Linked DNA regions of Arabidopsis thaliana. The protein of the gene in region 3 purifies or fractionates together with the protein of the main gene of each other region. This does not show direct contact. Each region holds a gene or a part of one and is shown on either strand. Other genes may lie near its edges.

What was found.
Region 1: the proteins of AT1G09640 (region 3) and eEF-1Bb1 fractionate together in Arabidopsis thaliana (co-fractionation; one large-scale study listed by BioGRID). This does not show direct contact.
Region 2: the proteins of AT1G09640 (region 3) and AT2G18110 fractionate together in Arabidopsis thaliana (co-fractionation; one large-scale study listed by BioGRID). This does not show direct contact.

The regions. Positions count from the first base shown.
Region 1 is NC_003070.9:10,633,539-10,643,866, reverse strand, and holds eEF-1Bb1 (translation elongation factor EF1B/ribosomal protein S6 family protein), read right to left. Parts: upstream 4,954-10,328; 5' UTR 4,895-4,953; intron 4,608-4,894; 5' UTR 4,582-4,607; coding exon 4,499-4,581; intron 4,356-4,498; coding exon 4,239-4,355; intron 4,125-4,238; coding exon 4,031-4,124; intron 3,943-4,030; coding exon 3,819-3,942; intron 3,729-3,818; coding exon 3,449-3,728; intron 3,354-3,448; coding exon of another isoform or gene 3,352-3,353; exon of another isoform or gene 3,351-3,351; coding exon 3,266-3,350; 3' UTR 3,085-3,265; downstream 1-3,084. Other genes in the region: AT1G30240 (proline-, glutamic acid/leucine-rich protein), read left to right, coding at 52-236, 528-712, 992-1,119, 1,194-1,462, 1,639-1,882, 1,971-2,626; INT2 (inositol transporter 2), read left to right, coding at 8,428-8,566, 8,656-8,726, 9,150-9,485, 9,572-9,679, 9,752-10,328. UniProt on the Arabidopsis thaliana protein: EF-1-beta and EF-1-delta stimulate the exchange of GDP bound to EF-1-alpha to GTP.
Region 2 is NC_003071.7:7,867,911-7,877,804, forward strand, and holds AT2G18110 (Translation elongation factor EF1B/ribosomal protein S6 family protein), read left to right. Parts: upstream 1-4,290; 5' UTR 4,291-4,397; intron 4,398-4,699; 5' UTR 4,700-4,725; coding exon 4,726-4,808; intron 4,809-4,912; coding exon 4,913-5,029; intron 5,030-5,112; coding exon 5,113-5,330; intron 5,331-5,419; coding exon 5,420-5,695; intron 5,696-5,801; coding exon 5,802-5,803; 3' UTR 5,804-6,100; downstream 6,101-9,894. Other genes in the region: AT2G18100 (transmembrane/coiled-coil protein (DUF726)), read left to right, coding at 19-239, 333-414, 504-989, 1,172-1,340, 1,452-1,604, 1,720-1,817, 1,911-2,002, 2,083-2,153 and 7 more; SRS4 (SHI-related sequence 4), read right to left, coding at 8,812-9,032, 9,324-9,771. UniProt on the Arabidopsis thaliana protein: EF-1-beta and EF-1-delta stimulate the exchange of GDP bound to EF-1-alpha to GTP.
Region 3 is NC_003070.9:3,114,713-3,125,835, reverse strand, and holds AT1G09640 (Translation elongation factor EF1B, gamma chain), read right to left. Parts: upstream 6,098-11,123; 5' UTR 5,828-6,097; intron 5,720-5,827; 5' UTR 5,675-5,719; coding exon 5,666-5,674; intron 5,449-5,665; coding exon 5,299-5,448; intron 5,211-5,298; coding exon 5,150-5,210; intron 5,050-5,149; coding exon 4,997-5,049; intron 4,878-4,996; coding exon 4,776-4,877; intron 4,666-4,775; coding exon 4,176-4,665; intron 4,064-4,175; coding exon 3,684-4,063; 3' UTR 3,294-3,683; downstream 1-3,293. Other genes in the region: AT1G09645 (uncharacterized protein), read right to left, coding at 1,489-1,727, 2,600-2,681; RAB11c (RAB GTPase 11C), read left to right, coding at 6,265-6,429, 6,998-7,486; AT1G09625 (uncharacterized protein), read left to right, coding at 8,269-8,493; AT1G09620 (ATP binding/leucine-tRNA ligases/aminoacyl-tRNA ligase), read left to right, coding at 9,381-11,123. UniProt on the Arabidopsis thaliana protein: Probably plays a role in anchoring the complex to other cellular components.

The DNA.
Region 1 (10,328 bases), 7.5 Mb from region 3:
TGTTTTCGGCTATAGAGTTTCCCTGAGAGAACACGGTGACATGCGTTGCAGAAACAAAAGGAACAAAAGCAATCCAACGATTGACTCCTCCTGGAAAAGACTCTCCTTTGCCCCTCGGAGGTCAAAATGGGGGTTTGGATGATGCATCATGGAACTCTGAACAATTGATTGTATCCAGAGTTTCTGCACTTATGTTCTGCACCTCAACGATGTTAACTACCTCGTACAAATCCAAGGTAGTGAGATATCTTTTTCTGTTGGATTATTTATGATTCCTCTAAATTTTAGACCTGGAGAGAGTTAGCTTTTTCGTACGTAGTCGTAAATCGATAGGTGTGCAATTTGGGTGTCTAGATTAAGGATCACTGTTAAAGCATCAAGTTAAGCATGCCCTTGCTTATGCCGTGTCCAAAGTTTGGATTGCTGCTCAGCAGACTCCTTCCGACTCTCGTGATATGTGCTACTACGTAATCCAGACATCTCATTTGCGTCTGAAAAATTCTGATATTCGTTCTTTTAACCTTCAGATTAATATTCCAGTTGGCTCATTGTTATCCCTTGTTGAGCGAGTGCTGTTGGTGAACGGCTCTCTACCTCGAGCCATGTCACCCTTCATGACAGGGATCCAACAAGAATTGGTTTGTGCAGAACTTCCAGCTTTGCATTCGTCTGCTCTGGAACTCTTGTGCGCTACTTTAAAGAGTATCCGCAGGTAAACCGGTCTCCCTTTATTTAATCTAGATTGTTTTTACCTTCATTGGCGAAAACTATATATTTTACATGTCAAACACATTAAATATTATATTTCAACTGAAACCTGACCTTAATTTCATTGACACTGACAATTGAGGAGTTGTTCCTTTGGTAGTTTATGTCTTGCTGAAAATAGTTTCGCAATTCTCGTTTTTCCAAATAATGGATTGTTACTAGTTACCACACCTTCCCGTGTCTTAGGAACTAAACAACATCCTCATATTGATTCATTTTGTAGCCAACTTTTACCATATGCTGCATCTGTGGTGAGACTTGTTAGTAGCTACTTCAGGAAATGTTCATTGCCAGAATTGAGGATAAAGCTCTACTCAATCACTACAACCTTACTCAAATCCATGGGTATAGGTAATTTCACAAGATCTTGCCTTTGATGTGATGAAAATATAAGATCATTTCTGCTAACATACTTCTCTGACCAGGAATGGCAATGCAACTGGCACAGGAAGTTGTCATTAATGCCTCTGTGGATCTAGACCAGACAAGTTTAGAAGCATTTGATGTGGCATCTAGCAAAAACCCCTCGCTTACTAATGGAGCTCTTCTTCAGGCTTGCAGTAAAAAAAGGAAGCATTCAGGAGTCGAGGCAGAAAATTCTGTTTTTGAATTGAGAATCCCTCACAATCACTTGAGAAGCCCGATTTCATTGAAAATAGCATCTCTTGAGGCACTGGAAACACTTCTCACCATTGTAAGCTCTTTTAACTCTTTACTATCAAAATTCAGCTTTTTGTCGACACTGTTGAAAACTTAGTAGAAAGTTATTAGTTACTTGAATCCTACTTATAATCACCATAGTTCTTCTTTGTGATTATGTTATAACAATATGATAGGTTATCAAATATCTTCTTTTCTTTTGGGTTTCAGGGTGGTGCATTGGGATCGGATAGCTGGAGAGAGTCTGTTGATAATCTTCTTCTGACCACTGCAACAAATGCCTGTGAAGGGAGATGGGCCAATGCTGAAACCTACCATTGTTTACCCAATAAGTCTACGACGGATCTAGTTGAGTTTCAGCTTGCAGCACTCCGTGCCTTTTCGGCATCTCTCGTTTCTCCATCACGAGTACGCCCTGCATTTTTAGCTGAAGGACTTGAGCTTTTCAGAACAGGTAACTAAGATTGTTGGCATGAATTAAAACTAAGCTTTAAACCGCAGAGATCTAGAGTAGTTGATGCTTATATATCGGCTTTGAACAGGTAAACTTCAGGCAGGAATGAAAGTTGCTGGATTCTGTGCTCACGCTCTCATGTCCCTTGAAGTTGTTATACATCCGAGGGCACTTCCACTCGATGGCCTCCCGACACTTAGCAACCGATTTCCAGAGAGCAATTCTTTTGGCAGCGAAAAACACAACACACCTAATCTTAATAAGTTGAATGTTATTGCTCATGATGGTGATGATCTAGGCAATAGATGGCAGGCAAAGGCGGATGTTCCTTCTAACAATGCGATTCAGAGAACCTTAGACACGACTTTACCTCTCCAAGAGAGCAACAGATTGAAAGTTGGGAATGATTTAGCTACTGTCGTGTCTTTGAGTGTCCAAGATCATACAGATATAGTTGCATCAGAGAATGGTCAACAAGCTGATGTGCCTGAGAAGGTTCCTGAGGAATCTCTAGGACCGGTTACAGACAAAGATGTTACGGCTCCCAAAGATGGGTATGAAGAAGTGGTGAGTGGGACTCAAGAGGGAGAGGATTTAGCGGTTAAAGACAGTCTGATGGAGGAAGCATCAATTGGTAAGAAGATAGAGTCCTTAGGGGAATCTGATGATGATCCTATTCCTAGTCTTCAGGAAGGTGATTTTCTCTCCTCTTCTTCTGATTCTGATTCTGATATTGAATCGTAATGCAAGACAAAAGAGTTCACAACCGTCTTAGAAGAATTTTGTTTCTAAGTTAAAGTTTTGATTATACAATTATACCTCTTTTTTACTTGTAAGATGTTTCAAATATGTGAGAGTTTAATTCCTTCCGAGAGTTTTTGTTTCTATTGTACACCAGTTTCAATTACTCACTAACATTGCAGCCAAAGCAGCCACAGAACCGAAATAACGATCGTGGTATATGAAGTTGATTTCTTCCATCTAGATCTTCCTAAGGCTAAGAGATTAACCAACTCCTTACTTTACCTTTGTGCTTAACTCGATTGAGAAACAAGTTTAACAAATATATAACGCTAAAAATGGATACATAAGTATAAATTTTATCAGCTTGAGTTGCTCTAAATCACAAACCCTTATCAGTCCTCACTTGCTAGTTTACTAGTTTTAGCTCAAAACCTGAACTTTATTCGGCAGAGCTACAAGGGAAAATTGCTAAGGATTCACTAAGAAACACATATCTAGAGATACAAGCGATGAACAGAGGGGAAGGAAGAAGCAGAGAATGGGTCATACACAAAGAAAACGTAATACTGAATTGTCACTTTTCATTAAATATCAAAATGGATCAGAGATGGCAGGCCATAACAGAGTCAAAACAACAGTCTACAAAAACTTGGGAAACTGAATATAGAAGAAGAAGAAGAACCAGACCACATGAACACAGACATTCCTTGAAGCTTTCTCCATCCTCCTGCATTATGATTCAATCCAACATAGACAGTTACACACCACATTATCTAACAAAAGATCACAGCTTAAAAAGAATTACGAATAGGTTCATGAAACTTACATATCTTGTTGAAGGCAACAATGTCACAGCTCTGGACATATTCATTGATCGGTTCAACAGTGAGTTGCTCTTCGATCATGGTGTCAATAGAGACAAGGTCGTCAACAATGGTGCACAAAATCTGCAACTTCTTGATACCATAACCAACTGGGACAAGCTTTGATGCTCCCCAAAACAAACCTTCCATCTGAATGGACTTCACAGCTTCCTCAAGCTTCTTCATGTCAGTCTCATCATCCCACGGTTTGATATCAATCAAAACTGAGGACTTTCCAGCTAATGAAGAATAATAAAAACAATGAGAAATCCAAGACATCTTCATATCATTCATATAAATTACAAGGGTAGAACAAAACCCAAACTTACATTCCTTCTTCTTTGTAGATGCCTTGACAGAAGCTGCTCTCTCTTCAGCAGCTTTCTTTTCCTCTTCGGTCTCCTCTCCGAAAAGGTCAACATCATCATCATCTTCTTCATCAGCCGCAGCATCCTACAAAACACACACATTCATATGAAATCTCCCCAATGCACAACTTTACAAAAACATTATGAGAAAACATAGAGACGATCAAGCATACCTTAGAATCAGCTGCAGGGGGAGTAGCAACAGCCTCCTCAGTGATAGGAGCTGATCCCTCAACAATGACACCGCTTCCTTCAGCAGAGACACCACTGTATATAGAAACATGATTATAACGAAACAATATTAGATTAATCCAGATTCCAGACAGCTAAAAACTTTAATCCATTAGTAAATGGAAAACAATAGAAGGTAATCAAGCTTACGAGATCCTCAAGAGGGCATCAATGTGATTGTACCAACGAGAAGCGTTCACATACTGTGAAGTTGGGGGCTTTGCAAGAGCTGCAAAGACGGTGATATCATCCTTTGAAGCCTGGTATCTATAAGCATACACAAAGGAAACTAATTATTACTCTTTTTGTTCAAAAAGGTAGAGATTAAGGATCTAATCTATTAGAGATGTTAACAACTTAATTGAGACAACACTTGAAAAAAAAGACAAATTTAAGAAATTGAAACTTACCCAGTAATGTAACTGCGAGTGAGAAGATGCTCGTCGAGCTTCTTCAATCCAGCATCAGAGTTAAGGTTAGGGAATGCTGCCATAGTTTCCGAAGCTCGAACCTTTTTCACTGATATAAAAAGCAGACAAGATCAGATCAACTACTAAAACCCCAACGATTCAGCAAAAACGAAACTTTATTTTGCTAAAAGACAGATCACAATTAGAAGCAAAGAACAACATCGAAAATTGATTCACTAAGACATCACTTAAGAGTTCCTAATCATGGGGATCAAAATACTCAAACTTCGAATTTCCAATCAAATACTATTATGACCATGGCTACTTTGAGATCGAAACAAACCTAATAGGAGGCGTAAGAACAAAAGATCTTACGGGAGAAATCGAAGAACAAACCTGAGCTAAAAGGCGCAGTCTTTGAAGATGAAGAGTGAAGGAGGAGGCAGAAGAGGATGGCGCAGAGTTCTCATAGGTACTTATTTAAGCTTCTAGGTTTTTCTTTAGTGGGCCTATATGTGGCCCAATTATCTCCTCAGTTAGGCCTTCTCTTTTATCTTGGTGGGCTTTACAAAAAAAAATCAATAAACCGGTTAAGATCTACACGATAGAGCATCAAGAAAACAATTCATAATTCTTCTGTCTATGAATGAAAGATAGTCATGTTTAAGTGAACCATGAGAAGTGTATATGGACCCAAATTTCCAGAGTGTCAGTTAGGAATAAATTAGCATTGTACTCAGAAATCAAAACTGTTAAAAAAAGTGGTAACAAGAAAAAATCTATAGAATTATTAATAAGGTAGTTTAGAATGATTTATGGAAAGATTAGATGTGTATGTATCTTACAAAATTCATCAATTTTCCTCTCTGATTAGTTGTCACTTTTTTCAGTTTTTCTCTTTTAAATTGTCATTTACTAACAAAATAATAAATTGAATTCATTTTGAAAATGATAGGTCACCCAATTTGTTTAATGTATAAGAAACTATCTAATATGTGGATATTAGTTATATTATCACCAAAAATGGCAAGCTACCCAAGCAAAATCGCAATATCGCTACAATGGCTGCATGTCTTGTTGGTTCGGTTCAAGATAATAAAGTTCTCTACATATTCTATTGATTCTTGTATCTAAAAGTTTATAGGCACAAACGATGCATCCGATGTAAACATGTTTTCTCGAATAAATTTTAAATTTTATTCAAAAAAAAAAAAAAAATCGCAATATCAAGTTCTTACTATTTTCTAAAGATGGAGTTGAGACCATTTGTTGGATCTCACATGCATAACGCCAAGAAAATCTAGTATACATACCAAGTTTTCATGTTTACAAACAGACACCACTTTAATATATATTTTACTAGTTATCTTTTTCAAAGTATTATTAGTTATTTATCACATAAAATAAATATAACATTCACGTACAAAAAAACTAAAATTTACAAAACCTTTACCCAAGAAAAAAAAACACTTTACAAAATCTATACACTTATGATATACATATGTTTTTATATAGTTTCTTAACACCTATTCTGATACGTCTAAGAAGTTGCATGTATGTTTTAGTCGTTGTAAAAAAGATTTGTTCAACTTTTCTATATTCTTATCACTTCTTTTTGTAAAAACAAAAAGCTATAAATTTTGTGGGGAAAAAAGTAACAAGATATAGTTTGGCCAAAGATGTACTTTGGTTTCTTTTAAAATTCCTCCTTGTTGAGAAAAAGGATTTCAGATTCCAATTGAGTTCCAACATTCTGGTTCAAATGCTTCTTTTCATAATCATTTTAAAGGAAGACTTTTTTTTTCCGGAACATACAGGTTTAATTCAATTTCAGAACTATATTATATCCTCAAACTTCTGTCTATATAACACTTTTAATGTAAACTTTCCTAAAACAATTATATCCATGTTATTTTATCGAAGCACAAAAGACATAGAGAATTCTTTTGGCCCTTTTTAAAAATTTGATGAGTGATCAACTTCATCGGCTGATCATTCCAAATATCCTGACTGATTTTTATTTTTCTTAAGGTAAATATAATCGACATTATTAGATTGATCGAATCGAACTCTAGTATTCTACTGTAATCTCTTAGTCTCACCTCATACAATCGTTGTGTGCGCCATGCCAAGATCACTAAATATCTATCTTGTACATGTGTAGAAATCCTCCACGACGGTCCACATATGATCCAATTGGGACATTAACAAGTATCACGTATTCTAATATATTAAAAGTTGTAAAAGTGTCATGTTCGCTAAGTATGCTCGCCAGTAACATCAACTTTGAGTTCCAAAACATATTACTTTTTGTTTCAATCATTTGTGATTTAGGTAGAATATTGGATCAACAAAAAAAAAACGATAGCATAGCATTAGCTTGCATGTGCTACATCAGGACAAATGCAGGGATAACAAACCAACAAATGTAATAATTAATGGTATATGTATACATATATATATATATATATATAACTTTAAACTTTTTGTTAGAAGAACCCACCATATATATAATTTAATATAGTAATATAATACATTTAATCAGATTAATTTCATAATTATTTGTTCTTTAAATCTCATGGTACATGATAACTAATGAATATTTAGTCGAATTTCAAATATGACAAAATTTTATCTATTGTATTATGGATAGAATGGTAGCTACGATATCACCTTCTAACAGTTTTCATCTGTGAAGTCTTCCTGTCACATACTCTTTTAAAGAAATATTCATTATTCCATATTTTTAAATTCTCAAAGCATGCATGATTGAATTTATATAATTTCTTTTGGTTATAAATATCTACAACTAAAAAAAAAAAACTGATTAATTATTATGAAAAAAAGTTTTCTTTAAAACGGAAAAAGAAAGAATGCATAAGTCCAAATTCACGAGTTGTAAATACTATCCAGACTCCAGTGTTTGACTAATCATATATACAACTTCAATTCAATCCCAGCATATATTTTTTTTTCTTATATAAAAATGATCAAATGATAATGGTCTTTCACCAAAGTTTTGGTAGTGGATCGTACAATTAATTAGGTATATAGCTAAACTATCATCGTGTTATACCATAAGCAGAAACCCAATTTGTAATTAAGAACTTAATTTAGAAAATTCTTAAACCAATAAGAAAACATTTTATTAATTTAATAATAGTTTCATCCGAATTATCGATTAAAAGTAGATCTAAATCTTTACATTTTCATCAAAATTGCTATTGATTCTTTTCAAGTAACAGTCCAACTAACATTAAGTAACGAAATAATGTTTTCATAAAAAATAGCTATATAAGGACAAACTACTATAATTTCATTTGAATAACCCTATAACGTTTGGTTCTCTGCTAGTATATCCAAAATTTTAAAATAAACGTGTCAAAAAGATACAAAACATTAAAATGCCATATTAGTATATATATTTTGAAAAATTCTAGTCAACTATGCTTTCATGTAACGTATGTAGTCACTATATATAATTTCGTAATTAATGTTGTCATACTCTTGTGTGATATTTTAGAAAATATCCATTAATATATTGAGTATAATAGCCAACAAAAAAAAAACTTGTTTTTATGATATTATAATGTTTTTGTAAGAAAACAAAAGTAACAATATTCAGATTTGTCATAAGGTAATAAATACACTAGAAATAAATGTAGAAGAATAAATATAGGTAAATAAAAACAAAGAAAGATAGTAATGAGTTATCCAAAAAAAAGTAATAGAAGAATTATTTTTGAAAAGTCATTGGATTTTTCTAGTAAGTGTCCTTCGTGTTGCATCTCAATTCTCCATTGATTCATCACCACTAATCATTTTCTCACCAGAAAAAAAACAACACAACAGAGAAACTCACACTCTTTATATTGGTAGTTCCGTTTCATTCGACAAACACACTTCTAACTCTTTTAACCCAAAAAAAAATGGAGGGAGGAATAATACATGGAGGAGCAGATGAATCAGCTTTCAAAGAATGTTTCTCTCTAACATGGAAGAATCCTTATGTTCTTCGTCTTGCTTTCTCTGCCGGAATCGGTGGTCTTCTCTTTGGTTACGACACCGGTAAGTTTTCTAATTTATCCACTCATGCATATATGTTATATATGTATGTTTGATGGGTTATATACATATGTATGTGTATATACATGCAGGAGTGATATCAGGTGCTCTGCTTTATATCAGAGATGATTTCAAGTCTGTTGACAGAAATACTTGGTTACAGGTTCTGTTTTACTTGGAATTAATTATGTCATTATGTATGAGTTTTTTGGTTAATTTTAAGGTTTTTTATATAATAAATGTTTGATGTAGTAATGACATCTCAGAAGCAAGAAAGAGATCATGGCCACAAATTAAATCATGACTTTGAGAACTTCAAAACTTGTTAGAGAAAAACTGTTCTGTCTCTAAAAACTATGGTATTAGTTGTAACAGTTTGTCAAAGCATATATATAAAAGAAAGATCATCAGGGTTTGGATTCTGTTTTAGAGTATGATTAGCACCAAACATCATGTCGCTTTTTTGCATTCCCTTTGTACACATCATGCCGTTTAGTATTTACCGTTAAGAAGCGCCTAAAGCAAGTTCCATGAACATACAAAGATACAAGCAAACACTAAACTTGAGATAAACACAATGGAACAGGAGATGATAGTGAGCATGGCAGTTGCAGGAGCCATCGTTGGAGCCGCCATAGGAGGTTGGGCGAACGACAAATTAGGGAGGAGAAGCGCGATTCTCATGGCGGATTTCCTCTTTTTATTAGGAGCTATCATTATGGCGGCTGCTCCTAACCCGTCCCTCCTTGTCGTTGGCCGTGTTTTTGTGGGCCTCGGGGTCGGGATGGCCTCGATGACCGCTCCTCTATACATCTCAGAAGCTTCGCCTGCTAAGATCAGAGGAGCTTTGGTCAGTACTAATGGGTTTCTCATTACCGGAGGACAGTTCTTGTCTTACCTCATAAACTTAGCCTTTACTGATGTAAGTGATACTAGCCTAAAGACAGTGAAAGATCAAACTTTGGCTAGTTTTGAAGTTTTTAATGTTCTGTTTTCTCTGTTTTTTAGGTGACCGGAACGTGGAGATGGATGCTCGGAATCGCCGGAATTCCAGCTCTTTTACAGTTTGTCTTAATGTTTACACTCCCGGAGTCACCTCGATGGTTATACCGCAAGGTACATTTAGATATTTTTCTCTTCTCCAAGATTTTGTCACAGACTATGATGAACTAAAACGTGTGTAAACAGGGAAGAGAAGAAGAGGCTAAAGCGATTCTAAGAAGAATATACTCAGCAGAAGATGTAGAACAAGAGATACGTGCACTTAAAGACTCAGTTGAAACAGAGATACTTGAAGAAGGGTCTTCCGAGAAAATCAACATGATCAAACTATGCAAAGCTAAAACCGTTAGACGAGGACTAATAGCTGGTGTTGGTCTCCAAGTGTTTCAACAGTTCGTTGGGATCAACACAGTTATGTATTACAGTCCAACCATTGTTCAGCTTGCCGGTTTCGCTTCAAACAGAACAGCTCTTCTCTTGTCTCTAGTTACCGCAGGACTTAATGCATTTGGTTCTATAATTAGCATTTACTTCATTGATAGAATCGGAAGGAAAAAGCTTTTGATCATTAGCCTTTTCGGAGTCATTATCTCGCTAGGAATACTAACCGGTGTTTTTTATGAAGCGGCTACTCACGCTCCTGCGATTAGCTCACTCGAGACACAAAGGTTCAATAATATTAGTTGTCCGGATTATAAGTCAGCTATGAATACCAATGCTTGGGATTGTATGACTTGTTTGAAAGCTTCTTCTCCATCTTGTG
Region 2 (9,894 bases), on a different chromosome or scaffold from region 3:
TTTTGTTGATCTGAGTTGATGGTGGAAGCTACGTCAAATTTGACGCCGTCGCAGAGATACGCGGCAAGCGCTTTGTTTGCAATCGCGCTTAACCAAGCGCAGATCAGCCAGTCAAAGCCATTGGGAATCCCGGCCACCGGAAGTACCGGAGAGCCAATCAGCAGCGACAGTGATCCTATCTCCGATGAGGCGGATCTCTGGGTCCACGAAGTTTCCGGCCTCCTCCGTCCTGTTCTCAGGTGATCTTGAAATCATCTGGAATAGTCATGTTCATATGCGTCTCTGTGTGTGTAATGTATACATTTTGAGCTGTCTCTGTAATTTGCTTTCAGATGTCTTCAGATTGATTCATCAGCTTGGCATGGCCTTGAAGAGATAGCTGCTTCTACTCAGGCTAAGGATCACATCGGTGCGGTATGATTAATTTCTCTCCGTATTTTGAAATTTCGTTGTGAATGTTGAGGAGCTCTTCTTTATTGGATGTTACTTTTGGTTTATTGTAGTTTATCAAGTTACTCTCAGAGGATGTGAGTGATGATGATGATGATTCTAGTGAAATGGTGGAGAAAGAGACCGCCTTAGCTAAAGCTGCTGATGCTATGGATCAAAACATTCGAAGCAGCTCTCTATCTGTGGAATCTAAGATGGAGAAACATGTGGAATTCGAAAACGAATGCCGCGACAAGTATTCTGTTCCCGAGGCACAGTCTGGTGCTGAGGTTAAGGAAACGGAGAGCCACGGGGAGGGTGAAATTAGAGATGGAGGCCACAATCTTGGGATTGTTGAACATGAGAAACCTGTTGGGGAAGTAGCATTGCTTAGCCATGAGAGAAAGATAAATGTTCTTTACGAGCTACTATCTGCTTGCTTGGCAGATAAACATGAGGAGAATGAGATATGTACACGGCGTAGGAAAGGCTATGATGCGCGTCACCATGTTGCTCTGCGGTTACTTGCTACTTGGTTTGACTTTCAGTGGATTAAAATGGTCTGTTTGCTTCATTCATTCAAATTATTTTGTAAATTTTATGCTACCACATAGCATAGCAACCCTATAGTTACATGTTAGCTATCTTGTTGAGGATTTAGGATCTGATGACATTGGGATATTTAGGATTCTCTGTTTTGTGCATTTGGATTGACCTGAGAATCAATTTCTGTATTTTCTAGGAAGCAGTTGAGACAATGTCTGCATGCTCTGCCATGGCATTGCAAAAGTCAAGTGGAAATAAGGAAGAAGAGTCTTTGTCACCAAATAGTGAATGGGCTAAGTGGAAACGTGGAGGCATAGTTGGAGCGGCTGCTTTAACAGGGGGTACATTGATGGCCATCACTGGTGGTATGATGTCTTCTAACTGTTAATATCTCTTCCAACGTTTAGAAAATTAAGAGTATGTGTTTGGAAAATGCTAATTCTTAATCTGTTTTGATTACATATTATGTGAAACAGGATTGGCTGCTCCAGCAATAGCTGCAGGGTTCGGTGCATTGGCTCCAACTCTAGGCACAATAGTTCCGGTAATTGGAGCCAGTGGGTTTGCTGCAGCTGCTGAGGCTGCCGGAACTGTTGCTGGTTCTGTTGCTGTTGCAGCATCTTTTGGAGGTAAATAAAAAGTAGAATCAGTTTTAGATTCCTTTAAGAAATAAAATGAATCAAAGTGATGATAATTGTATAGTTCTTAGTCTTCTGTTTTGTTTCTACATGTGTTCATGAATAGCTGCTGGAGCTGGGCTCACTGGGACGAAGATGGCTAGGAGAACTGGTGACATTGAAGAGTTTGAATTCAAAGCTATTGGAGAAAATCATAATCAAGGAGTTAGTTTTAAATTCCTGCTGTTTCATGTTGAAATCTCTTTGCTCTGCATTGATCTCTTTGTTCTTTCTTTATTTTTCTTGTTGGTGTAATAGCGATTAGCGGTGGAGATCTTAGTTGCTGGCTTTGTTTTAAAGGAAGAAGACTTTGTAAAACCCTGGGAAGGGTTAACTAGCAACCTAGAAAGGTATTAAAATGAATTGTTCTTGTGTATATTTTTTGTGACTATATCATAAAATCCATATGTTTGCTATAATACCTTCTTAGGTACACGGTGCAATGGGAATCCGAGAATATTATTGCAGTGAGCACTGCAATTCAGGATTGGCTTACTTCAAGTAATAATATATAGTTTTATCCAATACGTGTAACCATGTAAATCTATCTTTTTGCTATTGCTCTAAGAATAGATAGTAACATTGACATGAACTTGTTGCAGGAGTTGCTATGGAGTTGATGAGACAAGGTGCAATGCGCACCGTACTAAACTCGCTTTTAGCAGCAATGGTTTGGCCGGCAACAATCCTTGTAGCTGCTGATTTTATAGATAGTAGATGGAGTATTGCTATTGACAGGTAAAATGAAAATATTTGATGAAACTGAAATGCCAAATGTGATGAAACCAGTACTGCAAGTAAGTTTATGTGCTATTATTTTCGTATTATCTTATTTCAGGTCAGACAAAGCAGGGAAGCTTCTTGCTGAAGCGCTTCGAAAAGGGTTGCAAGGAAATAGGTATAATTATTGGATAAATTCCATCATATATCTTTATGATAGAAAGTTGTGCAATTAGTATTTTACATCAGCATGTTGATTCTCTTACATTGGAAAACTTGTGAGAAATTCAGACCTGTGACTCTGGTTGGTTTTTCGCTTGGTGCACGTGTTGTCTTTAAGTGCCTCCAGACTCTGGCAGAGACTGAAAAGAATGGTATTTCTCCACTCAATATTTATCTTTGCTTTAGAATTGACAATTGATTCTTGTCTTTAACACATTTTTCACGGTAGCTGAAATTGTGGAAAGAGTTGTTCTTCTTGGAGCACCAATTTCAATCAAGAATGAGAATTGGCGAGACGTAAGAAAGGTAATAAACCTTCTTGATGAGAGTTCCCTACCATTAACAAGAGTTGGTGTCACAGTCTAGGAAACAGATCCGTCTTTTGGTGTTCTGTATCATCTTATACGAGTTTTTTTATGGGTTACCAGATGGTGGCTGGAAGATTCATTAATGTTTACGCCACAAATGACTGGACCCTCGGAGTTGCATTTCGTGCAAGGTATGTTGAATTGTGTTCTTCGATCCCCCCTTTCACCTGCAAATCCAAACTCTTTTTTCCTTATTAAATTCTGCAGTCTGTTGTCCCAAGGATTAGCTGGAATCCAACCGGTCTGTATACCGGGGATTGAAGATGTAAGTCATCTCATTTACTCTCATCTTCAATTCGTAGGAAGTGAAAATGATAGAAACAATCAGAGTAATCATCATCACATTTGTAGGTAGATGTAACGGATATGGTGGAAGGTCACTCATCTTACCTATGGAAAACTCAACAAATCCTGGAAAGACTCGAACTCGACAATTCTTACCCTGTTTTTCGAAACACTCTCTAACTAAACCCAACATTTATTACTAGGACCATATCCCATTTTCACCCAGTTTCATAGACTAGATTAACCCTCATGACTGCTGAATCAGGTAAAACGAAACATCATTGCCCTTCTTCTCTCATTTTCTCCTCATGTGCGTATATATTATACACTTCCACATTCCCACAATTGTTTACATGAAAACTTCCCTCATTTTGAAACCCTACATGTTCTAATTTTTTACCCGAAAAAACCATCGGAGAAACTATGTTGACCAAAAACAAACAAACATACTATACATGTTGACATAATAAACGAGCTTTTAGTCCCTTGTTGTCTTATTGAACTTTCAACATATTTTTGTAGTTAGTTTTACGTCGTCGCCTTTATACTTTGGCTTTTTCCTAGTTTTCTCTCTGTACGGCGATAGTAGATGATGATGTACATGTTGATAACATTGGCCCTATCTATCAATTTTTATATCACCCAAATTCACAGACGTACATGTGAAAACTAAAATTTTATACTGTTTCGCTTGCTAGAATAATAATATGCAAGAAACGTACATGTGTGATTGTGTGGTTACTGTTTTTTGAGAATTCAAAAAAAAAAAAAAAATCATCTTAAACAATCGAACTTGATTAATTCATAAGCCAACAAAATTGGAAAAAAATATTTTAGTTTATTTTAAGTGTTATAAAAAATTTGATAATTATTTTAGTTATTATATTTGAAAATAGGTAAAATAGGTTCTTAATATGTAACATGTACATTTTTGCATATTTCTAATTCGGTGTCATCCATACAAAAAACAAATGGCAAAAATCAGAATGGATAGAGAATTAATCCGCTAAAATGTAAATGTTAGGCCCAAATTCGGCCCATTACACAAAAATCTCAGAGGGTTAAATACATCACCTTCTCGACGCTAATTCCTCCACTACGTCTCTCTCTCTTGCTCTCCCTCTTCAAGTCGGCTCCTTTATTGCTACAGGTTTGTTGCTTCTTCGATTCAATTCTTCTTTCGCCTCCAATTAGGGTTTGTTTCGACCTCAAATTATGCAACTTTGGGATTATGTGATTAGAATTTAAATTTCGGTGTTTGTGAATCTAAATCTAGTTGATTAGCATTCTTATTGTTGTTCATACGTTTTAACCCAATGGTTCGTCTTTTAGATCTTCTGTTGTCATGATCTGGTTTTATGAAATAGAAAGTTTCGTTTTTGATGAATCGTTGGTGGGTTTTTCCTTACTTGATCTGATCTGATCTGATCTGATCTCTCTGCTTTATATCAGTGAAAAAGTTTCGAGCTTTAGAAACAATGGCGGCTTTCCCCAACCTCAACTCTGGCTCCGGATTGAAGAAGCTCGATGAGCATCTTCTCACTCGCAGTTACATCACTGGGTTAGAATCTGTTTTCTAAGGGCTGTCTCAATTATCTATCTTGTTTTGAAACAATAGTAGTAACCATTACTTTCTTCTGTCTCTCTATGTATGTATGTTTATAGGTACCAAGCTTCAAAGGATGATATCACTGTGTTTACAGCTCTTTCAAAGCCCCCAACTTCAGAGTTTGTCAATGTATCTCGTTGGTTCAACCACATCGATGCCCTCTTGAGGATCTCGTAAGCTCCATTGCCTTCTGTTTTTTACCAATTAAAGTTTTTGTCTAGTGTTGTTTTCTTATAACCTGTCTCTCTATTTACAGTGGTGTCTCTGCTGAAGGAAGTGGTGTCATTGTTGAAGGGTCATCACCTATCACAGAAGAGGCTGTTGCTACTCCCCCTGCAGCTGATTCTAAGGATACTGCTGCTGAAGAAGAAGATGATGATGATGTTGACCTTTTCGGGGAGGAGACCGAAGAGGAAAAGAAAGCTGCTGAAGAGAGAGCAGCTTCTGTGAAGGCATCTACAAAGAAGAAAGAATGTAAGTTTGTGTTTTTGCCTTTACACCTGTAGTTTACGATATAATGATGTCTTGGATTTCTCATCTGGTTTCTTTCTTTTCTTAATCAGCCGGAAAGTCATCAGTTTTGATGGATATCAAGCCGTGGGATGATGAGACGGACATGAAGAAGCTAGAGGAAGCTGTAAGATCCATTCAGATGGAAGGATTGTTTTGGGGAGCATCAAAGCTTGTACCCGTTGGTTACGGTATCAAGAAGTTGCACATCATGTGCACCATTGTTGATGACCTTGTATCTATCGACACCATGATCGAAGAGCAACTCACTGTTGAACCGATCAATGAATATGTCCAGAGTTGTGACATTGTTGCCTTCAACAAGATATGTAAGTTACACGAACCTTTTCTCAACTACTTAGAATGCTGAGATTGTTTTATACGATAATTTGGTGTGTAACTAACTGTTGGATATTGAATTGAATCATAATGCAGGAGGATGGAGAATAGCTTGAAGGAAGAACTGTTTATGTTGTTGTTTTCTTCTCTATATCCAGTTTTGTTACCTGTTTTTATTGTACTCTGTGGGAGGGCTTTTACCAACTCTGATTCATTTTGATATATGTGAAGACAATTCAGTTTTGTCTTAAAGTTTCCACCAAATCTCAAATACGAAAAATCATAAGTTTGATAACATCACAGAAAGTGTGAAGCAAGAATGCACGTATGTTTAAAATAAATACAAGTACGCATAATTTAGTATTGCAAAGAAGATTATGTTTACAAAAATTTCTAACAATCAGAGAATATGAGAAGGCTAGAACAAGGACCTTGGGTGTGACGCAATATTTCTGAAGTCATATCTTTTTTGTATTCTTTAGTTCCCACAAAAAAAATGGTAGGTTTCATATGGGTAATGCATGCTCATTTTGGTTGCTCACTATAATTATTGTGGTCTTGATTTGGGTTATAAAAAGGATGGGAATGGAGATGACTTTTACTTGAGAAAATTCTCGATAGAGATATTGGTGAAAATGTCAAGCTTTGTGGTGTTCTTGTTAGGTTCTGGTGCTGTGTTGTTGTTGAGTTCAAGCTCTGTCCACGGGCTGCGATATAGACCCGTGAGGAGATATTTTAATAGTAGTGATCAATCTTCCGTTTTGGGTTCCAACAAAACGTTTGAAAGTGGTGGACATAACAAAGCACGAAGAGTGCAAGAAGGTGATGTAGAAGAAGGAGGCTGCGAAATCTGCAGAGGAAGAGAAAGAGACTGTGGAGGTTGTACCGGTGGAGAAGGAAGCTGTGAAGGTTGTAATGGAGCAGGAGGAAGTTCGGGAGATGGTGGAGCAGGAGGAGGAGGAAGCGGTAGAGTAGGAAGAAGAGGAAATGGCAAAGGAGATGGGAAAGGACAAGGTGACGACGGTGGAAAAGAAGATTGCAATGACCATGAAAAGAATAAAGGAGATGATAGGAACAACGGTGATGGTGTTGGTATTGGTATTGGTATAGGTATAGGAGGTGAACCTAGCCCTGGATCCGGAGGTGGAGGAGGTGGGGGCGGCGGTGGCGGAGGTGGTGGTAGTGGACCTGGTGGTGGTGGTGGTGGAGGAGGAGGTGGTGGAGGCGGTGGTGGAGGAGTAGGAGATGGATATGGATATGGCCGTGGATGGGGTGGTGGATATGGAGGAGGAGGCGGAGGAGGATGGGGATGGGGAGGAGATAGCAACGGAGGAGTATGGGGTCCTGGAAACGGCGGTGGTTGTTGGTTTCCCGGTTGTGAATATAAAAAGTCAACGAAAGGTCAACACTGATCAACATGTTTAAAGACCGTTTTACATTTATCTATACTACGTTGGTTTTCAATATGGATTCTTTCTTTACTTATTGAGGTGCTTATAATTGGACATCCATTTAAAACAAAATGAATAGTAATAATAATACTTCCATTTTCTCTTCTTTTTTTTTGTTTTTTCTAAAAATGTTAATATTTCATTAGAAAATAAAAAAGTTAGGAATTACAAGAATGTAAAACCTATAGTTTGGTCCCATGGCAAAAAAGACTAAAAACATGGGAGCAAATATCAATTGGTCCATCGACATCAACAAAAATAGTTAAGCTTTTGGAATCAATGAAGCGATACAACAATTTTGATGAATCGCATATAATACACCTCAAAGAGAAAGATAATGCTGTTGAACGGCAAAGGTCGAATCAATGAAAACTTCCATTTTCTCTTGTTACAATATTTCTCTAATTTGAGAAAGACAAAAGTTATGAAGCATAGAATTGATGTGTGTCAGTGTGTGGAGTTGATGGTATGTTAACAAAATGTTTTGATATATCATTTATGTAGGCCGCAAAGAGGGGAGATGCTCGTAACGTTAGGTTGGAGTTGTGTTAAGTAAAGAGAAGTTGGAAAGTAGGAGGATCAAATTAATTAAAACTTGGATTTTATAAAGACGTAGATTTAGTCCTAATTACTAACAAGATTGAGATCGAGGATTCTTGTGCCTTGTCTTGGTCCTAATTACTTACATGCTATGATGTGGTTTCATTTTCAAATTCCATCTAATGTGGTGAAAACAAAATTATTACCAACAAGGTTCCATTGTGAATACAAGAACACATGAAAATATCTACAAAAGTTGGTGTACACCAACTCTCCAAGCTTTCACAAAAATAAACTCATGAATATTGAACTTTGTATTGGCCTTTTTGTATATATTGGATTTTTTTAACATAAAAATCCACCTTTTGTAATATTGTATTTTATTATCTAAAAACGATCAACTAGCAACGGAAATAAATCCACTGACCACTGCTAATATATTTTAGCGACGGATCCGAAGTTTACAGCGATAAGACCGTTATTTGGTGGCTTATAAATTGTAATAACAAATCTGACTATACCGATACATATACTATCTTAATCAGATTAAAAAGTTCAAACCTCATATACGCTTCGAACGACTCAACGGCTAAGCTAATAGAATATATAATAGATAACAAATTCTACATCCGTACAAGATTTTAAAGGGGTGGCAGTGTAGCCAATAACCATCAACCTCATTTATTGGAATTTACTGCTATAGACAATCCCTAATCATGCATAGGCACGTTACACAATTAACATAAATCACGAGTAGTCTTTTTCATATTTAATAATCTATTGGCAAAAAAAAACAAATTATCTATTTTGTTCTTTCAAAAACTATTACTATGGTTGCACAGTTGACATTCTTCTGTGCAGGAACATTTACCACAAATATTCCCAATGGACTCTTCTTATCTAATACGTTGTTTTTATTTTTTAACACCATCTTATATATGTTCATTTATCCACCTTCTTAAAATTATAAACAAATGTTTAAACAGATTCTCTCTAACATAACGATTTACCGAGTTACTTCATCTGTAAAGTATTGAGTTTTGGATAATCTTGAATCAACAAAGTTTTAATAGAGATTATTGCATACGACAAAAATAAAGAAGATATAAAAAAAATTAAGATCTTGGTGGGTTCTCGTAGAATTGTGTACTGCGCATGGACTTGTTTTCTGGACCTTGGTTATAGAGAATTCCTTTAAAGAGATGACCAGCTATGCCCACCGTCGTTTGGTATGCGTATTGGCCCTCTCCATCATCGGTACCACTCATTCTGACGCATCGGAAAAGTGCATCCGAGCTCACTTCATCTGGAAATCTTGTCTCTCCCATCTCTAACCCTAGCAAAGTTACACAAAGTTAGGGCCAAAACTTCACAACAAACATTTATCAAATCCTAACAACAAAACTATGTTCATTTTTCAAACACAATTTTTTGTTCTTTATTTTACTTAGCTTCTTACATTAATATTTAATAGTTTCATCATTTTGAAATGGAATTTCATTTTTACATTTCTTAGATTGCTTATTGCAATTTCGAAATGATATTTGATCGAAGTAAAACTGATGCATTATCATGTAAAAAGAAAGATTTATTAGGCAACAACAATGAAAAACTACTGAAACCAAACCTGATGAGTCTAAAGTAGCATGTTGATTAATGTCTCTATACTTCCCAACTCTGCCGCTACCGCCGGTTGGGTTGGAGGTTGGCGTCTGTAGCTGCTGCTGCCGCTCACGGCGTTTGGCAATGGGGATCCACGTGCTCCTCACGTGGGTGGGACAGTGGAGTCCGTTACTCTTGCAGCAAGTTCTACACCGCCCGTGCGTGCACCCTTTCTTGGCTTGGTTTCCACACTCTTGACAGCTTATCGTTAGAGATCTCGATGACGTGGTCATATCACAGACGTCGATCTGACCCGGATATAGATCGAGGCTTGGCTGCTGCCATATCTGATTGTTGTGGCTCGTACTTAGGTTATTATTGGTGTGTTTGTACCAAACCCAATTTGTGTTTTGTTGATTGTCTTCTTCGTTGTTTCTTGATGATCCTGTCCCAGCCATTTCAAAATTCGACATAGCTCCTTCTCTAACCCTAATCTTGAATTTACAATATCCATAATTTAAAAATCCTAGTTACCATCAAGTCTTGAGCTTTTGATAACTCCGGCCGCGTTGCCTATTTTCTTTTAGTGACCTTCC
Region 3 (11,123 bases):
AGATCAAGGAAAAAGGATCTTCCTCTCACGCGCGCGGCACAGATCTCCTAATCCTATTATCTACTTAACATTTTTTTTTTCTAAATTGTAAATATTTCATAGTTAATGAAAAATAGTTTAGGTTACAAACATAGAATTTGAAACATATGCATATGAATCCATGGTAAAAAGATTAAAAACATGGAAACATAAACCGCTTGATGAGTATGGAAACATAAACATAGAGGATCTTCTACTGTTGCCGGAGCATGATAAAGCAAAGTATCCGCTTGATGAGAAAGCTGAGAAGAAGAAAGGAGCCAAGAACCGTACCAACCCTTCTTGCAATTGACCGTTTTTGACGAAAATGAACTCGAACAGGTATGTAGATGAATATATATCTTCCCAGTTTCAATTTCTTTTGTATTTTTGTTGGATTTATTCGGTGGCCGTTCCTCTGTAATCCTTAGTTCTCTCTTGGTTTAGGCTAGATTGTTTGATTCATATTTTTGACATGAATGTTAATCCCTCCTTAATTATCAACATCTGTGATTTGGTATACACTAGGGAGTTTCTAATGAAGGTTGTTGCCCATAATATTTGTAGGCAGACAAAAATATGATAAGAGGAGGGAGTTTGCTTGCAGCTTCTTTGTGTGTCAGTGGGACATGAGGAACAAGCCACTTGATAATTTCTGTATAATGTGTTGAGTTTTGAAACACAAACATTAATTTCATTTTAAGTTTTGAATTTCTCCATGTGTCTATTTTACTCTTCATTATCTACTGGTTTTGAGATTTAAGGTTCAGATTCAAATTACTTCAAATGTCCGCCACAATTAGACAACAAAGAGATTTAAGAAACACATATGTACAATTAAAGTACAATTCAAAGCAGAGGTGATTTGAAGTACTCGAGCGGACTTCAAATATGGTTTGCGTCAAGACAAAGTTGAGGATTACTTTAAAAGTTTTGTACTCTATTTAAAAACAGTATGCATTCATTTATAAACCAGTTTTTATTTTTTTCTTGAATATAATTTAATATTAAATTCAAAAAAAAAAAAAAAAGACATGTTAAGAAATCTCCATTGGAGATGGTCTAAGGAAAAGTAAAACTCAACACTTTCTGTTTCTTAAATCTAATCGTTTGAGTAAGAATTTTCTAGGAATCTTAAGACAGGGACACAGATCTCTTAACTAATTTGTCTAGAGGGTTAGAACCTAAACTTACATCGAATTTGTTTAGAACCTAAACTCACGCTATTTGTCAAAAAAAAGTGAAAGAAAGAAAAATGAATTGTACAACATTGGAAAACAATCGTCTGGAGAGGATAATTGATGAACTGATGATGATTAGTGACAAGACAGCTACATCAGTTACTAGCCCAACAAAGTATGCGTATATATATACTTCAAATTTAAATACCCATAAGTGATAAGTTCCACCTACATGCTCAGACAAACGAACACAAACAAACATGAGGCCTTTGTTGACAAATTTGCGTTTTTAATCTCGAAGACCTAATTCAACCTCGAGTTCATCATCTTCCTCAAACAGCTTCAACAGTCGAGCATACTGCTCGTCTCTTTTCTTCTTTTGCCATAGCTTGTATAGGAAGAACGAGAACATGGCCACAGCCACAAATCCAACTAGAACAAGGATAACTTTTGTGCCTGTTTTGCTGGAAGAAGTATGAGATTCTGTCTTAACTCCTGCATTCGTGTTCTTGGAATCACCCGATAGACCTGAAAATATCATATCAGAAGACTTAGTTACTAGATGCCCTCTTAGCATATACAACAAAAAAAAATCAAGGTTTATGGTGTCCTCAAGTGCACTCGTGACTGTAAAATCTTGTCGTGTAGACACTCACTAGTCAGCTAAAGCTACACAGTCTATCCTCAAATAGTTACCATGTTTCTTATATTCGACTAAAGGGGAACAACAACAGCTACACACATAGACAACAGAGAACAAGATCAATTGCAACATGCATTTAAAGAAATTTACGGGAAAGAGAAAGAGATGAGCCTACTTCTTTTAAAAGCACATGGTGGCCAATTGTATAAATAGCTTATGTAAGAACTTTAAATGTCTGAAAACTATAGGCAACAAGTAAATACATATCTCATTAGTCAACTGCAGCATCACCATGAAACAACTGAGGAATTATATAAATACTTGTCACAAAAGCAATAGATTTTGCAGACAACCTCTTCAAATCAGGACATGGTCTCGCATTTAGGACAAAGGTAAACAACTATTATCCAGTGAAGTTAGTAAAAGAAACTATAACCACACCAAACCCATGAACTGAACGGTAAAATCCTCTTTGCTTATTTTCTCTTCACTAACATGTTAAGCACAAAGTTAGTGATTTGGCCAAGATCTACTCAAAAGAGAAATACAATCTTCCTATCTGCATGTTTCGATCCTGATCGCAAAAGACCTAATGCGTAAAGATTAAACACACTGTAGTATTTAGAAAGAGCCAAGTTGAGCTAAATATAACATAAATCTAGCGAATTGAGAACCTAAAATCCCAAAGGAATACTAAATCAGATGAGGATTCTACAAAAAAGTGAAATGAAATCAGATAGATCTGAAGAAGACGAACCTAAGAAGAACTGCAAACCAATCGAAGCGAAGAACAGTAAACGCCGCCATGAAAGACCACCAGTTGCTGAGTTCTGTCTCATCTCTCTCTGTCGATATGATTTTTCTGCTTGTAAGCAAGAACGGATCGATCTTTACTGCTGCAGAGAACAAATTCTTCTGGTGGAACAACTTTTGATGTTGAAATTAGAAAAAGGGAAAAGAACAATTCGACCACCCAGATTTTCTTTACAGGATTATATGCCTTGTAGCAGTAAAGAACAATTCATTTCGCTTGAGACCAACTTTATTAAATACGTCATTAATAAATTGATATACACTACCTTTCTTTTCTTATTTTGTGACCAATCTAACATATAGTAATATTTTTGGTAGTTACCAATCTAACGTATAATATAATTATCTATACATTTCTCAGCGAAACAATAATTTTTTATTTTTTGGTCAAACAGCGAATAATAATTATAATCAGCAATTTGTATATATAATCTGATACGAAAAATATTATGAACAAATGTTACATTATTTTGTCATAAGTTACATGTTCTTTTATTAGAGTTGTGTGGCGTATTAAGTTGTCTACCTTTTTTTATTCGTTAGTTAATTTCGAGATGAACATGCCAGTTCTTCTTCTACGAAATTAACTAGACTTATTATTCTTCAAGAGTTTGCTTTTTCAGCAATTTTTAAAATTGGAAAAATGTTCAATATATGTGCCAAAAAGACTTTACCACTAAATGTTCAACTCAAAGACCAATGTATATAAGTTGACCGAAACGCGTCAAAGAAAATCAATCAAGGCAAAATTACCGTAAAACAAATAAACCAGACCATGTATTGCCTATTGCCAGGGTAGACTGGCCGGTCAGGATTTCGAAAACTGGTATAGTAAACAATTCTGGACGGAGGCGAAACATTAACAAAGAACTAAAAAGACTTGTCCTTGACACTCGATTAGAAAAGAAAAAAACAGTCTATGCGACACGTCACAGAGCAAAACCCCTATGTGAGACAGACAGATAGAAAGATATGTAAAGCCCCAGCTGCAAAACCTGTAAATGGAAGTACCAAACCATTCTCTCTTCTCACTTGAAGCACTTGGCGTCCAAGAGAGCCTCACCTTCAAATGGCTCTGCGTCTTCAATCATCTGGCTAACACGCTCCTTCTGGGCTTCATCTGAGATATCAACCTTAGTCCACTCATACAGCTCCATGTCGTACACCTCGTCCATTATGAACTTTGGGATCTCTGGTCCACGGAACAGCCATAAACCCTTCACCTTGAACGGACCCTCTGACCCACAAATCAGCATCTTTCCAAAGGAGTATTTACGTGCCAAGTCCATACGCTGAAGGAACCCACCAACCTTGTTGAGCGTGACAAATGACACCATGTTCTCATCGTTGTACTTGTAGTCACAGAACCATAGTGAGTATCCCTCTGGGTCATACATGTCCCAGAATCCTGCATTTGAGCCACAATATTAGACATGATAAAAAACAATTGATTCCAATAGCTAAATAATTCCCTGATAGCAAAGCTGAAAAACTAGGTAGAGGAAGATATCACCACACACCTTTAATAGCAACCTCGCGGAAGTTAGATTTGGTGTTTGAGTAAAGCCTCTTCCAATCATCTAGAACCATAGGGCTTGGTGGTAGCAAGTCAAGAGGGTTCTTGGCTTTGGGCTTTGGTGCCTCTTCCTCTTCAGCAAGCTTAGGTGCCTCTGCTACTGGGGCTTCCTTTTTCTTAGGCTCTTCTTTGGGCTTTGCAGGCTGGGCAGCTTTCTTGGAAGCAATAGGAGGGACAGCTTCAGTCTGTTTGACATCACCCAACACTTTAGTGAAGTTTGGTTGGTTAACCACAGTCCAGAAGTACCTCTCAACATGAGGAAATTCAGAGGTAAATTTCTTGGTCATGACAGTAGCAAATCCCAAGTTCAAGTTGCAGACAGTGATGATATCAGCAAGGGTAATAGAGTGTCCGACAAGGTAAGTGTTAGACGTGAGATGTGTGTTCAGAGCATCAAGTGCTCTCTTCAACGTAGAGATCGCACCTTCTTCAGCCTTCATTTATATAACAATCACGGATGAGACTATTTATATAGTGAAAAGAATACCTAGATTGCCATCACAAAGAGTGAATGAAACAACCAATGAAAGTCAAAAAAGCTTACCGGAGCACTGTATGGCATAAAGCCCATTCTTGGGCCGAACCACCTCAAGATACTTGCATAGATCTCCAATGAAGAGAAATCAATCCATTGCTCAATTTGTGCCTGCGAAAAAACAACATGCAGATAACCATTGAGAATACTAACAAATAGAATGACAAACAATAGAAGAGGTGTCAATGGATTAGAGAAGAGTAGCCCCCAGGGAAAAAACAGCTACTTACATATTCGATCAGGGAGGATCCGTTCAAAGAGTTGTCACCATTCAATCGGCTTACTGTATTGAGATATCAACAGATCCATTAAACCCAAACGACAACAAGCAATCAAACTAGACACTGAGAGACAATTAAAGGAGAAAGTTATGAATGCTTTACCATAACGGGCAATTGCGTTGCTTTCAAATACTGAACCCTCGGGAGTCTCAAGTACAGGAACCTAGCAAGATCAATAACTCTTGGTTAGCTGAAAAATAGACTTAATAATACTCAGTCCAGAAATTTAGCAAACACCAGTGATGACAAACCTTTCCAATAGGGTTCATCTTGAGGAACGCAGGGGTTTTGTTAGTGACACCCATCTGAAAGTCAGAGGGCACATCGATCTGCACACCAACGTACTCTGCTGCAATGAGTGCCTTCTCAGCACTTTTGTTTCCCTTGTACGTGTGCAAGACCTGCAATCGTAATTCATCATCAGCACAATAATACGTATTCCAAATCAATAACTTAACAATAGAGTAGCTACATATCCAAACTAACATAATTTTAATCAATTTGGTGTATGAACAATCGTTCTATAAACTTAGATCCTAAAATTTACAAATCTAACGTTTCTACAATTATATCGATACATGATGCGATCGTAACAGTAGACAATCATAGAGAACTCACCAAAGCCATTGCTCAGACGGAATTCAAGCGAACTTGGGGCTTCTGATATCGGATCTGGTTCCAAGGAAAAAAAATCAAGCAGTGAGCTCGCAATTGACATGATCATAAATATGAATATGAGCTAACTGGAGAAAAAAAGATTGTTCGATCGATGGATCTTACCAGATATTCTGAAGAATCTTCCGTGAGAGCAAATCGAGAGAGAAGAAGCAAAAAGTTGAGGCGGAGAAAAGCTATAAAGGAGTGTTGAAGGGATGATGATGAAGAAGTAGGGTTTTTAAAATCTGTATTGAGTGTATTCCTCTGGTTTGGCTCGGTTTTGTTTGGTTTTATTTCTGATTTTTGTTTATTTTCCGGTTAAGCTCTAATTACTTTCCCTTTTATTAGCATGTATAAATGAATTACATATATGTAGGCTTTTTTAGTAAGCCCAACTTGACAAGAAAAGGTCTTCGTCGTTGGGCAATAACAAGCCGAGAAGGTTGAATAGAGAAGATCCAAGGGGAAAGAGAAATTAAATTATTTATTTATTTCTGTCATCTTCTCCTTTTCTATTTCAAAATCCCAAATCTAAAGCACTCCTCGAGAAAAGTGTAACAATGGCGAGAAGACCGGACGAAGAATACGACTACTTGTTTAAAGTGGTTTTGATCGGAGACTCCGGTGTCGGCAAGTCTAATCTCCTCTCTAGATTCACTCGCAACGAGTTCTGCTTAGAATCCAAATCCACCATTGGTGTCGAATTCGCTACTCGTACTCTCCAAGTACGCACACATCTCTCTCTATATATATAGTATATAGTGTAATCGAAATGTTGCTGGATCTAGGTTTAGTTCTAAGTTAAGCAGCATCCGGTGCTTTTCGATTCGATCCGTATCTGTGTTCGTATGAATACTCGGAAGCAGTCATTGTGTGTAGGAACATTTGGGCTTGGTTTTGAATTTTGATGTTTACATGTGTGGTGCCTGTTTTTTTCATTTGGTCGAGATTTTTGCTTTGGTATCTCTTAATTTAAGCGTTTTATTGATAATGTTCCCAAATTTGTCGATACTCTGGTACGTGGTAGTGTAAGGCTCCCTCACATGTCAGATCTAAAACCTTGTTTAAGGCAGATCTAAGAATCTCTTCATCTGAAATTGATCTCGAACATGATTTTCTTTTGAAGTATGAATCATGGTTGTTGTTTCACAGTTTCTAGTTTTCTTACTGGGTTGTTTGTGGAATTTAGCTGCGAAGTTACTAATTTTGTTGTTGCAGACACACTAATCATAGAGTCTGCTGCTCATTAGATCTGAATTAACCTATTAAAAAACCTATGATCTTTGTTCTAAGGTGGAAGGAAGGACTGTGAAAGCTCAGATATGGGACACGGCTGGGCAAGAACGATACAGAGCCATAACTAGCGCCTATTACAGAGGTGCACTTGGAGCTCTTTTGGTCTATGATGTCACCAAGCCAACAACGTTTGAGAATGTAAGCAGGTGGTTAAAAGAACTAAGAGACCATGCAGATTCCAATATAGTGATCATGTTGATTGGGAACAAGACAGATCTGAAGCATCTCAGAGCAGTTGCCACAGAGGATGCTCAGAGCTATGCAGAGAAAGAAGGCTTATCTTTCATCGAGACATCGGCTCTCGAGGCATTAAACGTAGAAAAGGCTTTTCAGACGATTCTCTCGGAGGTTTATAGGATCATCAGCAAGAAGTCGATATCTTCAGACCAGACAACTGCAAATGCCAACATCAAGGAAGGCCAAACAATTGATGTGGCTGCTACTTCTGAATCAAACGCTAAGAAGCCTTGTTGCTCATCGTCTTGAAAGGCTTTGTTTGTGTTGCACTTAAAAAAAGCCAAATATCTATGAGACTTTATTTCAAGGCTTGCGTTGTATTTGTTTTCTTTCTTTTTTCTGTTGTTGATAATATAACTCAAAGATAATTTTTTATATCAATTGTGGAGTTCGGAATCGTTCACACAAAACAAATTTTGGAAACGAAAAATATTTTTAGGGAATTAATTGTAGTTTTGAGTGGTAGTTGTAATGTAGTATCAGAAAAATAAGCAGAGTATAAAATGAAATAAACAAATACCAACGTAGACTATAGTTTGAATTTTTAATAGAGCAGAAATTCTTCGATTTCAAAGATAATTTAAATAAAGTAGACAAAATCACACAATATACATTTTTCAATCAAGAAGAAATGGAAAAGCAAAGAAAGGAAGTTAATTAAAAAAAAGGGGGAAAAAAAAAACGGAAGTCAACAAGAATACAGGCAAAACCAAAAATATATATTTGACGGAACAAAAAAAACAAAATATATATTTTATAGTATTAGTTTATGACATTATCTTTTTGCTAGTTTATGAGATTTATGAAGAAAAGGAAATATACTTTTAAAGTTGATAAATTGAAAAAAATTAGAAGAATGATTTACTTTTATTTTAGTTATTTTCTAGCAAGTTTTTTGTCAAAATGGTAAATTTCCAAGTCTTTCGAGTAGTTCCCGCCTCCTATAATATCAACAACTTTTAAGCAACTTGTAATCATCAACAAACAATTTACTTTGTTTCTTTGTCACTGAAAACAAATACATAAAAAAGATGGAGATCCCAATCTGGGGATGGTGTATTATCGTCGCAGGAATAATAATGGTGACGGTTTTATGCAATTTGCTCGATAGGTGGTGCTCGAAACCTCTTGAGATAGAAGAAGATGGTAAAGCGTCGTCTTCTGTAACTTTGGAGAAGAAGGATCCAGTGAAAGAAGATGGTAAGAGCAAGACGAACGAGAAGGCACAAGCTAAGCCAAATAATAATCTCGTTTGAAGAAAATTTTCAATATATTTGTTTTGCATCCCTTGTTTTTATCATATAGTTTTCTTATTTTTAACAAAGGTTAGACTCTTGAGAATCTAAAGAGTTTGAAAGATGTTATCTATGTATGGTTTCTTTATCTTATCATAACTAACTAAACATGTTGTGTGGTGTTGATGAAAGATTGAAAGGATTAATCAATCACATTCTCTAGAACCAAAGTCGAGAATTCTTTTAACTATTAGTCTCTTAGATTTGCTTCCATTACTAATCTTTCAAGTTTGAGGTGTAACTCAAATTTCTCAACATTTTTTTTCATGCAAATCTAAATTTCTGCAAATACAATGAAATTATACCATTAAACAATCCACCATATATAATATACGACATAAGCATCGCACAATAAAAAACCAGTAACATTTGAAAAGGGGAGGAGAAAGAAAACATGAATATTATTTAACAAAAAAAAAAAAACAAAAAAAGAAAAAGAAATTGAACGTCTACTAGTTAAAAAAAAAAAAAAAAAAAAAACTTTGAAGTCCCCAAATATCTGGGCCTTTTAGTGGATGTGGCCCAAATTCTAAATGGGTTTGACTTGGATCCGGTTTTGGCGAGACTAGTTCAGTTTAATAATCAGCCGTCGAATCCAAAGACTGAAGAAGGTAGTCTTAAAGAAAAACCCTAGAAACCATTACTTATCTCTCCCACTGGCTCTGTCTCTGTCAAATCTCGGATCGATTTCGCGGTGGGCTCGATTCGTGATTCCTCAAAGTTCATCATCCCTAAGGTAATTCTCTCCCCAAGCTGGTAGACTCAATCTACCGATTTTTGTGTTGCACTTAAGAAGCCGATATCTAAATTAGAGGTTTGCGTTTTTTTGGGGTAGGCACTGTCACTTAATGGCATCGGAATCGAAAAGCTACGCTAGGAGAGATCGTCTTCTTGAGATTGAGGCCACTGTTCGAAAGTGGTGGGAAGACGAGGATGTATTCAGAGCCGAATCTTGTGAGAATCTTCCAAAACCAGGAGAAAAGTTTTTCTCAACCTTCCCTTTCCCGTATATGAATGGTTATCTACACATTGGGCATGCCTTTTCATTGTCCAAGGTTGATTTTGCTTCTGCTTACCATAGGCTAAGAGGAGCTAATGTGCTTCTTCCATTTGGTTTCCATTGTACTGGTATGCCAATTAAGGCTTCTGCGGATAAGCTTCGTCGTGAGATTGAACAGTTTGGTAACCCTCCTGTGTTTACTGCTGAAGACACCACCAAAGTTCCTGAAGTTCAGGAGGAGAGCAGTGATACTATAGCTTTACCGATTCCGGGTCAGTTCAAGGGAAAGAAGTCTAAGGTTGCTGCCAAAGCTGGTGGACAGGTTTATCAGTGGGAGATTATGCGCAGTTTTGGTCTTACTGACAGTGAGATTGCAAATTTCCGAGAGCCTTCTGAATGGTTGTATTACTTTCCCCCTTTGGCTGTTGAAGATCTAAGGGCATATGGATTGGGTTGTGATTGGAGACGCTCGTTTGTGACCACTGATGTTAATCCCTTTTTCGATGCCTTTGTGAGGTGGCAGATGAGGAAGTTGAAATCTATGGGAAAGATTGTTAAAGACCGCAGGTACACTATATTCTCACCTTTAGATGGCCAGCCTTGTGCTGATCACGACCGTGCTACTGGGGAAGGTGTTCAGCCTCAAGAGTATACACTCATAAAGATGGAAGTAGTCAAGCCATTCCCTCTGAAACTGGGTCCTTTGGAAGGCAAGAGAGTGTTTTTGGCTGCAGCTACTTTGAGGCCTGAGACCATGTATGGACAAACAAACGCATGGGTACTACCTGATGGGAAATATGGAGCTTATGAAATCAGCGAAACTGAGGTCTTCATCCTTACTGAGAGAGCTGCGCTCAACCTTGCGTACCAGAACTTTTCGAAGAACCCTCAGGAGCCTTCCTGCTTGGTTGAGTTGACCGGGTATGATCTGATTGGACTCCCTTTGAGGTCTCCTCTGTCAGTCAACGAGATCATCTATGCTCTGCCCATGTTGACCATTCTGACCAACAAAGGTACTGGCATTGTCACCAGTGTGCCTAGTGATGCTCCTGATGATTACATGGCTTTACAAGATTTAATCAAAAAGCCTGCTCTTCAAGATAAGTATGGTGTGAAAACGGAATGGTTGCCCACTGAAATCATACCGATCATCAACATTCCGGAATTTGGGGATAAAGCTGCTGAAAAGGTCTGCTTGGATCTGAAAATTAAAAGCCAAAACGATAAGGAAAAGCTTGCAGAGGCTAAGAGGTTGACTTACCTGAAAGGATTTACCGAAGGAACCATGCTTATTGGAGAGTTTTTTGGTAGGAAAGTTCAAGAAATTAAGCCCATTATCAAGACAAAGCTCATAGAGACTGGCGAGGCAATCATATACAGTGAACCCGAGAAGCCGGTGATGTCAAGATCGGGTGATGAATGTGTTGTGGCTCTTACAGATCAGTGGTACATAACATACGGCGAATCAGAATGGCGGAAAATTGCTGAGGAATGCCTATCAAAGATGAATCTCTACTCTGATGAAACAAGGCATGGCTTTGAGCACACTTTGAGCTGGCTCAATCAGTGGGCTTGCTCACGATCTTTTGGT